Coturnix japonica: one gene and its partners. The protein of the gene in region 1 interacts with the protein of each later gene in a pairwise test. Links are inferred from orthologs where the notes say so. Each region holds a gene or a part of one and is shown on either strand. Other genes may lie near its edges. The genes, in order: LONRF1, KCTD9 and TRIM42.

What was found.
Region 2: the proteins of LONRF1 (region 1) and KCTD9 interact in binary tests that used the Homo sapiens proteins (3 or more experiments, as listed by UniProt). The two-hybrid records come from large-scale screens. The link is inferred for Coturnix japonica from reciprocal best matches to the Homo sapiens genes LONRF1 and KCTD9.
Region 3: the proteins of LONRF1 (region 1) and TRIM42 interact in binary tests that used the Homo sapiens proteins (3 or more experiments, as listed by UniProt). The two-hybrid records come from large-scale screens. The link is inferred for Coturnix japonica from reciprocal best matches to the Homo sapiens genes LONRF1 and TRIM42.

What each region holds. Positions count from the first base shown.
Region 1 is NC_029519.1:58,362,966-58,367,161, reverse strand, and holds the start of LONRF1 (LON peptidase N-terminal domain and RING finger protein 1), read right to left. Parts: upstream 2,821-4,196; 5' UTR 2,580-2,820; coding exon 2,003-2,579; intron 1-2,002.
Region 2 is NC_029537.1:1,992,413-1,996,501, forward strand, and holds the start of KCTD9 (BTB/POZ domain-containing protein KCTD9), read left to right. Parts: upstream 1-1,241; 5' UTR 1,242-1,290; coding exon 1,291-1,338; intron 1,339-1,923; coding exon 1,924-2,045; intron 2,046-2,799; coding exon 2,800-2,843; intron 2,844-3,195; coding exon 3,196-3,292; intron 3,293-3,755; coding exon 3,756-3,814; intron 3,815-4,089. Other genes in the region: CDCA2 (cell division cycle-associated protein 2), read right to left, coding at 1-327. UniProt on the Homo sapiens protein: Substrate-specific adapter of a BCR (BTB-CUL3-RBX1) E3 ubiquitin-protein ligase complex, which mediates the ubiquitination of target proteins, leading to their degradation by the proteasome.
Region 3 is NC_029524.1:5,100,688-5,104,760, reverse strand, and holds the start of TRIM42 (tripartite motif-containing protein 42), read right to left. Parts: upstream 2,838-4,073; 5' UTR 2,686-2,837; coding exon 2,345-2,685; intron 1,286-2,344; coding exon 579-1,285; intron 1-578.

The DNA of each region.
Region 1 (4,196 bases):
TTTGCATTGTGGAAAAAAAGTCTTACAATGGTGATGGAAAACCATACTGACTGCTCCAAAAGTAATGCCTCCTATTTATTTCCATGGAAACTACAACACTCACAACAAGTACAATAACATCATAGGAAAAATTCTCAGCTGAGGAACACTATATATATATTTTAAACACAGTCACCAAAAGCTAAGCATTTTCGCCAGCAATGAAGGGGAACCCGCATGCTGTGCACTTAAAAATCTGCATGGCCATCCAGAATGGGGTTTGTCTCATGTCTCTGTTGTCCCTGCTGAAATGCACCACCCACTGCCTTACTGTGCTGACATCCAATGTTTGGTCTCTATAAACATTCAGCAAGTCCTACTATCTGTTGCATGGCAACAAAATGTCATTGAATATTGGCAGGATGGAACAACCCCTACTGCCATATCATCACCTGCCTCTGAAATCATGGGCCAGCATGGTAAAATAGAAGGCATTACTTTTGGAGCAGCCCTCCTATCTAAATTCCATTATCGGATATTAACTAAACCAGAAAGAGTTTGTTTGAACAGTCAATTTTAGCAGCCCAATATATCACTCACTCCTGGCATATCAATACAAGTTACTGTAACTAAAAAACAAGAAGATACTGAACATCTTCTGGGCAGAAAAACGTGCATTGGATATTACTGCTTCTGCCTACTGTCAGCACAAGCATATTGTAAATGAATTGCTTTTGGTCAGGTCCTACATGCTTTTTACCTGGTTCTTAAAAATACACAAAATTCTTCAAAAATAAAAGCTGCACACTTTGTATTGGTGTTCAGAAGAACTACAGGACACGGTATGTATGAATGCAGTACGACAGGGTCGTTCCAATGGTCTGGGGTAGGAACACCTGAGAATAGGCTGAGCTAACTGGTCTTGTTTAATGAGGAAACACTGGAGGCAGCAGGGGAACCCAGCAGCCTCCTGAAATCCCACAAGAGGTTGCCTAGATCTGACACACACATTGGGGAAAAACAAGAGACAACGGTTATAAACCAGAATGACAGTATTTCTGCCTCTATACAAGCAGAAAATGTTTCACAACGATGGTACTTAAGCTTTGAACATGTTATCCCAAGCAGCATCAGAATCTTCATCCTGGCGGTGTTTTCATCGTCCAATGGGACAAAGCCTTCAGCAAACTGTTCTAACTCTGTGTTTGCCCTACTTTGAACACGGGGTTGGTGAACAGATCTCCTAAGGCCCCTTCAGCAGGAACAGGTCTGTGACTGTGCTCAACCTCGGGCGCGTTGGGATTAAAGCCTTCTTTTACATAAGGTAATTCCTTCCAATCCCTGCGCAGCACACGTAACCTATGCGAACGTTACCATTCCTCGTGCTTTTCAAAAGCAACGTGGTGAGAATCACTAACTTCTCACGCAGGTTTCAACAAATTTCCTTATGACCCGTGTAAATCAACGTTGTACTTCTGAACAAATAAAAAGCTCTACCGACAGCCCCAATATTTACAACAGGAAACGGGACCTGCGGGGCTGCCGACAAACTCCCAGCTGCACAACGCCAACACGGCGGGTCACGGTGCCAGCACCATCCAGGTGTATCCGCCCCCGAGCCGAGCCCGCAGGGCGCCCAAAGCCGCGGCCATACGGCGCTCCGCCCGGCGGCCCCGCCCGCCCCCCGCAGCCTCGCCCGGCACCAGACGGGGCGCGGCCCCGCCCGCCATGATGTCACCGCCATTACACAACCTGTCCCCGCCGTGCCTCACGCTTATGCAACCGGGCCCGGCCCGACGGAGCCGCTGGAAATAGGTCTCTGTCAGGAAACGGGGTTACGCGAGGCGCGGCCGCCAAGGGACGCACCGAGCCCGGTCAGCGCGGCGGGAAGGAGGCACCGGAGCGCACCTCAGCCCAGGGGGAGGCTCCCTGCGTCCGCTCAGCAAACTTGGAAAACTTCGGAGCACTGAGGGACGGCGTGCCGGGCACATCCCTCCCTGTCCCACCCCGGCCCCCCGCTCACCTGCCCGCAGCGCCTGCCCGGCGGCGCCCAACGCCTCTCGGTATCGGCCGTGTGCCAGCAGTTCCTCCAGCCGCCCGCCGACCCGCGCCCGCTCGCACTCTCTCGGGAACCACTTCTCGGCCAGCTGGCTCAGCACCACGCTGGTCCGCAGCGGGGCGGCGGCCGAGCCGGTGCCTCCCGCCGGCAGCAGCCGGTCCCGGCAGCGGCGGCAGCGGGCCCGCAGCTCCCTCCGCAGACAGCGGCGGCAGTAGGTGTGCCCGCACGGGACGGTCACCGGCTCGCTCAGGAAGCGCCCGCAGCCGCAGCAGCGCAGCGGTCCCTCGGCCGCGCTTTCGACGCCGCGCTCCCGGCCGCGGCCCGGCCCCTGCCGCAGGCGGTAGTTGAGCACCAGGCACTCCACCAGGGTCCCGAAGCGCCGCGGGCCGGCGAGCGGCCCGAGACACAGCGATGCCAGGGACGAACCCGCCGCTTCCTTCAGGCGGCCCCTCCGCTCCGCATCCGCCTCCTCGCCGAGTCGCCCGCCGCCTCCCGGCTCCGGCGACGCGTCCGAGCCCACGGCCACGGGAGAGAACGCCATCGGCTGCCGGCTCGGCCGAGGGGGGTGTGGCGCTGCCGCTCCGGCCGGCGGGCCCGGCGCTGCGCACGGCGCTGAGGCACTGGCGGCGCGGGGCGGGGGAGGAAGCGAGGCACCCTCCGCGAGGGGTGGGGTCAGGGGGGCGTGTCACGTGCGCGCCCCGGGGCAGCGGTAGGTGCGGGGCCGTACGAGCTGCCCGGCCGTACGAGCCGCCCCGTCCCGCCCCTTTCTAACGTCTCAGCGCGACCTCGCCCCGCCGCTTACATAAAGAGCCGTGTCAGCTGACCGCCGGGCCGGATCGCCATTGGTGGGCGCTCCAGGGGCGGGAGCGAGGCGGTTACAAAACGCTGCGCCGCGCGCGTTCCGTAACAGGGCGGGAGGGGCTGGGCGGGTGGCAGGAGGGGGCGGTGCGTGAGGGTGGGCGCGGCCGGCCCGTAGGGAACCAGCGTCGGGTGCTGCCCTGCCCCGGCTCCAGGGGGAGCGGGGGACGAGGGGAGGGGGTGTCCCCTGGGAGAGGGGTCGGTCCCGCCGCTTCGGGTTGTGGCTCCTATAGGCGGTGCCGCTCCTCAGAGCGCCTCCAGCTCCGGTGAGGGTCGGGCGATGGCAGCGCTGCTGGGGGCGGTGGGAGGGGGAGCAGCCGGTTTTCTCGACCGCTTTTTGTTGGCTGTGTATCGTGCCTGTGGGATGGCTGAGGTAGAGCTGGTCACACGGTGCTGTAACTACTAAGTTTTCCGGGAGCATAAAATAGCGAGCTCAGTGTTTTTGGGATGTCCCGGATCAGCTATAATTACAGTCTCTTTTCATGATACAATGTTGAGGGTTTCCACGTGTTTGTTAGCCTCTAAAGGAAGTATGGAATCCATGGTGTGACATCCAGGTGTATTATCAGAACTCATTCTCTCTAAACCCCATCCTTTATGTTTCTGGTGCCTTTCTGCTTCCTAAAAGATGTTTTGTTAGTTGAAATATCAAGGGGGAACGTGGATGGCTTTTAAATGTGAAGAGAGAGCAGAGTCTTGAAGTGGTTATTCGTTAAAATAGTCGCCGTGACTTAGGAAGTGGCAGCCTAAGGAAAGATCAAAGTAAAAGATGCTTGGAGTGTGGATTTGAATGGTGGTGGGATAAGGCAGAATGGTTGGAATCATGGGTAGTTTCAGTGGTTATCGCATCTTTTTTAGACTTAGGAGGAAATATGAGGACAAAGTTTCAGGGAGACAAGAAGGGATTTAAAGGAAAACCCTTTAGGAAATAGGGTGTAAATTCATTTCCAGTGCATTTTTAAAGGTTCACGTGTTAACATTCATACTGATCATTTGAACGTTATTGTCAAATCAGCTTTTGGATAGGATGGATGAATGGATTGATAGGGAGCCTGACACTATCCTGCTCCCACCAGTTTTAGAGAGCTATCTTTAGTATCTTCCTTCACAGCTTACTCTTTATGTGAGCAGTGCTTACTCTCACTGTAAGCCTTTACTGTCTGCTCATGTTTGTGACACATTCTGTTCTACATTCGTAGCTGTCCTCATTTCTCTTGGAAGCTTGGGACTTTATGCATCCAAAATACATTGTCTGGATTTAGGTAGACAAAAGTTTTTTCTTTTCCTGTGTGGTTGTAGA
Region 2 (4,089 bases), on another chromosome or scaffold:
AACAAAGCTTTCTGGAGTAATCCCAAAATCAGCAGTTGTTACAGTTGCAAAATCGACACTTTTTCTCCTCTGTTTCTCTGCTAATTCGCAATAGGATTTTTCTTCTGCTTTGAGCCTTGCAGGCGTTGAGTAGCACTCATCTCCCAAAGGCACGGATCTACCTGAAACATTCTCTTTGCTGCTCAGAGGCTGGGCAGCTTCACCAACCACAGCCCTTTTTGGAGTATCTAAGGGACATTCTGACCACTGATGGCTCTCAGCATCATGATACAATTCCTGCTCTTGGCCTTTGGTTCCATTGCTTACGTTCTCTTTCTCAGATGCCATTTCAGGCTCAGTCACTTTGCAAACCTTCCACTCTTCTAATGGGGATCTCTTCAGTCACTGCAAGATTTCTTCTCTCATTGCCTTCATCTTCCAGCACAGCATCTCTAACCTTTGATGACAACGTGTTTTAAGCCCGAAGAAGCACAAAGTTATTCACTTGCCTCCAATAACAACAGCTCCCTGTTAAAAAATGACAAGTTTTAAGTCATTTGATAAGGAAAACAGCCCTGTAATGATATGAAATGACTGCAGATCTAGAAAACCACTTGGGGAGGGGGGAAAGGGGAAGAATAGGGAAAGCCTTATGGTAAGAGAAGCACAGAAGCTTGGCTATGGGTAAGGAAACACAGGCTTATGCTTTTATTTTGTGGTAAATATATACATTTAGCGTTTAAATGCCCGTTTTAAACGCAATTGAGGTATGAATAGTATAAAGGGGAAGGGGAAAGGGGGGGGGGGTTCTTTAGGTCTCTCACATCTTTCGCATTACTGGGTTTCTCTCAGGTATTAAAGCTCAGGGAAACAGGCCACAGCAGCAGCTCACGAGAATACGCGTTAGGTTCCACGGACCGGGCTGTTTAAGGCAATAAGGGCCATACAAGGGCCATACAAGGGCCATACAAGGGCCATTACCACAGACCCCCCCCCCCCCCACCTCAGCCGCCATCCCCGCTCTCCCCTCACGTTCGAACCGCGGAGCCATCAATGACCGTTACGCGCCGCGCCGCCATTTTGAATTGCAACGGTCGCCGTCCACGTGACAGCGCGCACCAATCGCGAGCAGCGTTTGCTTTTAAGCACCCAACTCCTGTTTTTGATTGGCTGCTGGTACCTCTGCTTCCGCCCACTCGTTGTTTCCCCGCCCCTCCTGCGAGGCGCGTTTCTCATTGGCCAGCGGCTTGGCTGCGATTGGTTATAGCTCCTGTCGCTCAGAGAGCGCTGACTTCCGGGTTTGGTGGCAGTATGAGGCGGGTCACGCTGTTCGTTAACGGCAGTCCCCGGAACGGGAAGGTGAGGGGTGGGGGGGTTGAGGCCTGTGGGTCGGATTTGGGAACCTGAAAGTGAGTTTCTGAGGTTGTTCTATTTTCCTCTGCTTGCTTTGGGACTGGAGGGCTGCCTACTGTGGCCGTGATTGGGGTAGTGGGGTCTGAGGGGCCGGGTTGAGGCCTAGGCCTGTGTATGGGGCAGCACTGGGCCTAGGCCATATAGGACCCATAGACCCCCATACAGGCCCCCATAGACCCCATACAGGCCCCACAACCCCATATGGGCCCCATAGACCCCATACAGGCCCCACAACCCCATATGGGCCCCACAACCCCATATGGGCCCCATAGACCCCATACAGGCATAACTGCTCTTCAATGCAGTTCAGCTCCCATTTAGTGGTGCTGTGCTGATAGAAACATGCCCTGAGCACATTAGGGATGTGCTGAGGTCTTCCTGTGCTGTGCTTTCTGTTGGGTAGCTGATAAATAACCTTTTTTTCTGCTCAAAGCTGTGAAGCAATGTCTATAGCAAAAGCATATCAGGTTTTAAGGCCCAATGCTGCTCTGGGATGGTAGCAGCCCTAATGTGGTTTCCTTCTCTTTGCAGGTAGTGGCTGTATATGGCACGCTGTCAGATTTGCTGTCTGTGGCGAGTAATAAGCTGGGGATCAAAGCAACCAGTGTTTACAATGGGAAAGGTGGGCTCATCGATGATATTGCCTTGATTAGGTAAGGTTGATCCCATAAATGCCAAGTCGTGGATGGAGATTAATAGCTTGTTAATGCTCTTAATAAGGGCAGGACCATCTTTCCTGTGAGGAAAGGCTGAAGGAGTTTGGCTTGTCTAGCTTGGAGAAGACTCCAAGGAGACCTCATTGTAGCTTTTCAGTAATGGAAGGGAGTTTACAAGCAAGAGGAGGGACTGACTTTTTACATGTTGTAATAGGACAGAAGGAAATGGCTTTAAAATAAAAGATGAGATCTAGGTTGGATGTTGCTGGGTGGGGCCCTGGACAGCCTAATCTGATGGGGGGCAAGCAGCCCACAACAGGGGTACTGGGGATCTTTAAGGTCCCTTCCTAAGCCATTCTATGAATAACAAGTGATTACCATAAAACCAGAGATTATTTTTGAAAAGGAGACAAACTATGGTATGGTTTTGGCTTCATGTAACATAAAGCACCTCAGAGTGGGGAGAAAAGGAACTATTTCATAAAATTAAAGCTGCTGAATATCAGAAGTGATCCCTACCTGGCTGATACAAGTCTCTATTGGTAGCATTTCTAGTGCAGCTGGTAAAATTGCAGTCATCTGGAACCTGCGAAGTTAAGAGAACAATCAGATTCTTGATTCTAACTAATGGAATCGGATTATCATATACCTGAAACTAATCAGGAGAGGATCCCAATGTTACTTAGATGAACATATAGCTGTTTAATCAATTTTTTCCTGTTTTTCTTCCCTCTGCCCTCTCCCCTTCCAGGGATGATGATGTTCTGTTTGTATGTGAAGGGGAACCGTTCATTGGTAAGTCTTTAACTCTTCAGCCTTCTGTTTACTTAGGCAGATAGTAACAGGACAAGGGGGGATGGATTTATGCTAAAAGAAGGAATAATTAGGGTAGCTGTTAGGAGAGTAGTGAGGCCCTGACACTGCTGTCCAGGGGAGCTGTGTGTGCCCCAGGCCAGGCTGGATGAGACCCTGGGCACCCTGATTTGATGGGAGGCAGTGGCAAGGGATGGGTGGGCTTTGAGGTCTCTCCAACCCAAGCCATTCTATGCTTCTATGCTTTGCTTTAGTGTAAATTTTGACCTGTTACCATATGGAGGATTCAGAAATGTTCACAATTCTAACATCTGTCTTCTCATCACCTGTGTAGATCCTCAGACTGATGCAAGACCTCATGAAGAGCTAACGGGGGCACATACAGACTGGCTAACACTCAATGTTGGAGGTCGATACTTCACCACCACACGGTAAAAATGAGGCTAGTTGAGCTGGAATTACCTTCAGTAAGGTTGCTATAGTAGCTGGGCTGTGTTCAGGTACTGAGACTTTAGATGCTCTTGAGAAAGAACAAGAAAAGTCTTTTGCTGTGGAGTAGGAAATCTTTTGCAGCTTTTTTTAGTATTAGGCATTTGTTGCCACCATAAACAGTTCACATATGTGCTGACAGTGGTGAAAAGCCTGAGCAGGTCTGCATTTATCCCTGGAACATTTCAGCTAATGAAGTGCTTTCTATTTGAAGTACTTTTGGTACACCTTAGATCAGAAGTGTGCTTTATCTCCTCTGAAATCAAATTAGCACAGAGTTGGAATGCATATCATGCACCGTTAATTACCTTCAGTGTGCCAAGGAAATGCATTCCTTCCAGCATATTGGTCTTATAGCAAAACTTTCCACTTGAAAAATAAAACTGCACTGCCTTTCTTTTCTAGGAGTACTTTGGTTAATAAAGAACCTGACAGTATGCTGGCCCACATGTTTAAAGATAAAGGTTAGTATCTCAAAACTCTCCCTTTAAGCTAACAAATTAGCCAAACAGGTAAAAGGCATTATTAAGTTAAAGCTCTTGTTTATGTGTTGAAGTATTAAAAGTATGTTAAAGCATCAAAGCACTACTTATGATCATTTTCTCTAGTTGTCTATTTAACCTTTGTTCATATAGTGTTTATCTCACACATTGAAACTAAAACTCCCATCCAGAGCTAATACTTTATAATAGAGTCTGTTTTTCTAGTTTAGACTTTTCTGGCTGTTGCATTTTACTCT
Region 3 (4,073 bases), on another chromosome or scaffold:
CACCTTTCCAAATTCTGTTTTCTGTGCAACTTTGTCTGTCCCCAGCATTTGTGGTGTTATATGCAAAAATCAAAGTATTTAAAAGAAATTCATAAAATCCCAGTCTCTGCACTGTCACTCAGACACTATGGATGAACTCTTAGATAAAGGAAGTGACATTGCTGTAGCTCCTCAGAACATTGAGGCTGTCTTGCCTCTTACTCAGCATGGACACAATCATAATACTGACTGAAGAGAGACAATTCATAATTTGCCTGCAGGGAAAAAGGCATGTACTTCTGATTTAAAAATGTAGGTGTAATTTGTGGTTGTTTCACACTGGGTCTCGCAGTATGAAATGGAGTTTCCTACACCAAGATGCACTATCTCACATACAAATCCTTTGTTCTCTAGTATTTGAATTTGTCATGTGGTTCCACACAATTAAAGGCTTCTTTCCTCTGTATTTCCACAGTGGGAATGGTTCATCTTTCTGCCTTTTGTGATATTCAAAGAATTAACGTGGCTCATCAAGTGTATGTGCAAGTATCTTTCCTGCAATGGCATAGGGAAGTGTAAGAAGCAGCAGAAATACAAACCTTCTTTAAATTTTACAATTGTATTGGAGAGAGAAGCAGCTTCTCTTGAACACGCAGCTGCCAAAGGGATGGTCTCATGGTCACTGTGTTGCAAATTCTTGCAGAAACAACAGATCAGTTTGTGGTCATCCAGACAGTATTCAGAGAGGTGTGAGTTGTGGTGCAGTAAGCATGCCCACTGTTCGTTATCTTCTTGAGATGCACTGGTAAAAATGTGGTCTTCAGCTCCACTCTCAGCATGATATAAATGCAGACATTCATTGCACATGTTCATTCCACATGTTTTACATCTTTTAGTTGCCACTTTTCTTCTCTCCCTGCAAGCTTCACAATGGACTGGTCCTACACTGTGGTCAAATCTCCATTTCAGAATGCCATGTCTGCGCATGTATTTCTTGGCTAGTTTTGCTCTAAGGTAATTCTTCCTCAGCTGAATTTTGTTTGTGCAAGGGAGACAATGAGCTTTGCTACACACCGGGCATATGATGATGTAATAATTTTCTGTTGCTTCAGCTTTGGTCTTGCTTTTTATTATACATTTCTCACAAATGCAGTGATTGCATGGCAGCATAAGTGGCTGGAGAAATAACTGTTTACACAGTGGACAGGCAAGCTGGTCACGAAAAGCCTGGCTGGAGCCTTTCCTTTCTGGTATACTGGCAGATGTGCTATATCTAGTTCTTAATCTTGATGTGACATCTCCTGACCTTAAGCAAATCAAATGGGGGGGGGGAAGCAAACAAATGAAAATGTAAGGCAGAATATCAGTGCACAATCTAAGAAACAGAATGATAAAATAAGCAGATCCATCTTGCATGCCAACCGTCCCTTTATTTGGACAGGATATTTTATTTAAACAGTTAAGTTAACAATACTAAGAATTCATTCTTTTCATTTTCGTAACTATTTCAGTGTATTTGAATGCTGTTTCCAACAATGTGAGTAGGCAGAAATCTTACTCTTGTCAAGTCTCTCTGAATTTCTTGAGTTAATACTGGTGTCCAAAAAACAGATTTCATTTTGGTTTACTGCAGTCTGGAATGTGTTTTTGTCTCCTTCTCATTTGCTTCTTTTTATAAACAGAACACAAAAATAAATAAAATGAAAAAGAAAAAACTTTTCAATTTAAAATAACAACACACATTTACATAGAAGGATCCTAAATTTTAATTATTTTAAAAAATCACTCATTATTTCTGATTTTTAAAACAAATGAAGATTATTCTTAGCAGCAGTCTTACATCATTAAAATTTTGGCAATTAACATGAAAGAATCAAAATTTGGATATTTTTATTAAAATTAGAATAATTCTTGTATTTTAGAAAATAACTGATTCTCTGCGTTCTCTTTAAATCTTGATTATCCTGGCTTTCCTCTTAGCCAGTGGACATTATTGTTTGAAAAAAAGAGTATTACTTTTATAATGATCCTGGCCATTTTCTATATCCTTGGCAAAGAGCATCATTATTCAGGATGTACTCCTGATTCTAGGAGACTACAATCTGGCCTTCTGCCATGCTTCAGTTTAGCACCTTCTCTGCCCAGATGTTCAGCCATGCTATTTCTTTTCTTGTCACTCTAGAGAATGGTAGGGAAAAAAAAAAAAGTTTTTTTTTGCTTTTAAGAAAGAATGATATCCTGTGGTTTGAAATACTCCACTGAGCCACTGGATCTTATACTTCTAAATGCAAGACATCCATTAAGATGGAATGAAAATTAGAAAAATTTAAACCTATAAAAACTAAAAGCCCTTGATTCCACTTACTGAGCAGTCCCTGGTGCTCTTGACCATCGTGGTTCAAAGACATAGATTCTGCAGCATTTGCTTGCATAGTATTGACACGTTGAATTCTCACCACCACAGCAGCAGCATTTGCAGTCTGGGTTACTTGAGCAAGAGCAACAGCACCACCAGCAATTTGCATGCTCTGAACATGAGCAGTGGCAGCACTGGTAAGATTTGTCCTCTTCGTATGGGCACGGAAAACAGCTGCAGTACTGCTCATTTGTAAAGAGGAAGCGCCAAGATGAGCGGCATTCTTTCTTTACGCTGTGGCAAGTCAGATTACAGCAGTTTGAGAAGCATGAGCATATATCCATTTTCATCTATCCCTCCATTATACAGCTGAAAGAAAGTTCATTTATCCTTTTAGCTTCTCTTCAAATTATTGCAGTTGGGTTCCTACAAGGCAAGAGATCTGTCTGACTCTAGGGTTAAGGTCTGTGCTGTAGGCAGTGCATGTTGTTCTAAATGGAATGTGATGTCACAGTGATGTATTCAAATAAGGATGCAGGCAGGGTACTATATACATGTTTATACACATTTTATACACGCTCTGTATGCTGATTTACAACATCTATATGTCATGATATTTCTAATTGTTCTTGAAATCATAGACAGCATTTACCTCACTCTCCATTAATAGCATGAATAGTTTGTGCAGTGGGATTAGCTATCCCAAGGCAACAGTCTTGTTAGAACTACACACTTTACAGTCATTTTGTTGGCTTCAAATATAGCTATGACACGTAAAGGAAACTTACACTTGATATGCGTCTTTGAGTATGTCTTTTATCTGTAACTGTAATAAGTCTTTGTCAGTGTTGATGCGCTTGAACAGTGTATGGCATTTGGTCCTCCGAGACTTGGGGAAGGAACCATCCTTGGAGCTCAAGTTCAGTGCTCATTCACAGTGGACTTGCATTTTCCCCCTCTAAGTCCAAGTGTGTTTCTTCACCTCCCTTATCCTGACCACTCTTCTATAAATGCAGTATTAGGCCTAATTCTTTAGTTACTTCATATCAAGCGCCTTTTTCTTCTTTTGTTTAGCTAATTTATTTGAAGATTTAAATAGTGCTTTTGTCTATTTGCAGAGATTATAATTTTAAATAAAAATGAAATTATTGTAAAAAATACATGAACTTCTCAGAAGTGCATACTAGTAGTTTACTGTAATGATTACGTCTAACTAAAACAAGAGCCACCCACTAAGTTGCCTGCAGCTGACATCTGAAAAAGCATGTTCTCTTACTGGAAACTTTTATAGGACAGTGATAGCTTTATGATACATACTCAATAATGCTGCTTTTTATAAGTGGCTGCTGTACTTTATGTATCTGAGTTTTCCTGAAATTTAGTAATTCAGCTTGTGATGATGGGTGAATGCATAACTGGGAATTACTAAAATGGGTCTTGATCCTATTTGCTGAAAGTCTGTTCTACATAAAGAAATTCTAATTCACTGATCCAGAGCCTTACAGACTACAATGGCTGTATCATTATATGCAGCCATCTACATGATGGGACATAATGGGTTCTTTGCAACGGTTATAGTCTATTATGTCAATCAGATTTTCACACAGAAGTATTAGATTTGTGTGCTGAATGGCATAGCCTGGACATTCAGTGGATGTTGTTTATACCACTTGTCTTTCTAGTTTTATCAGCAGTAAGACTTTTTTTCTGTGCATATTTAATTTTATCACATTGAATG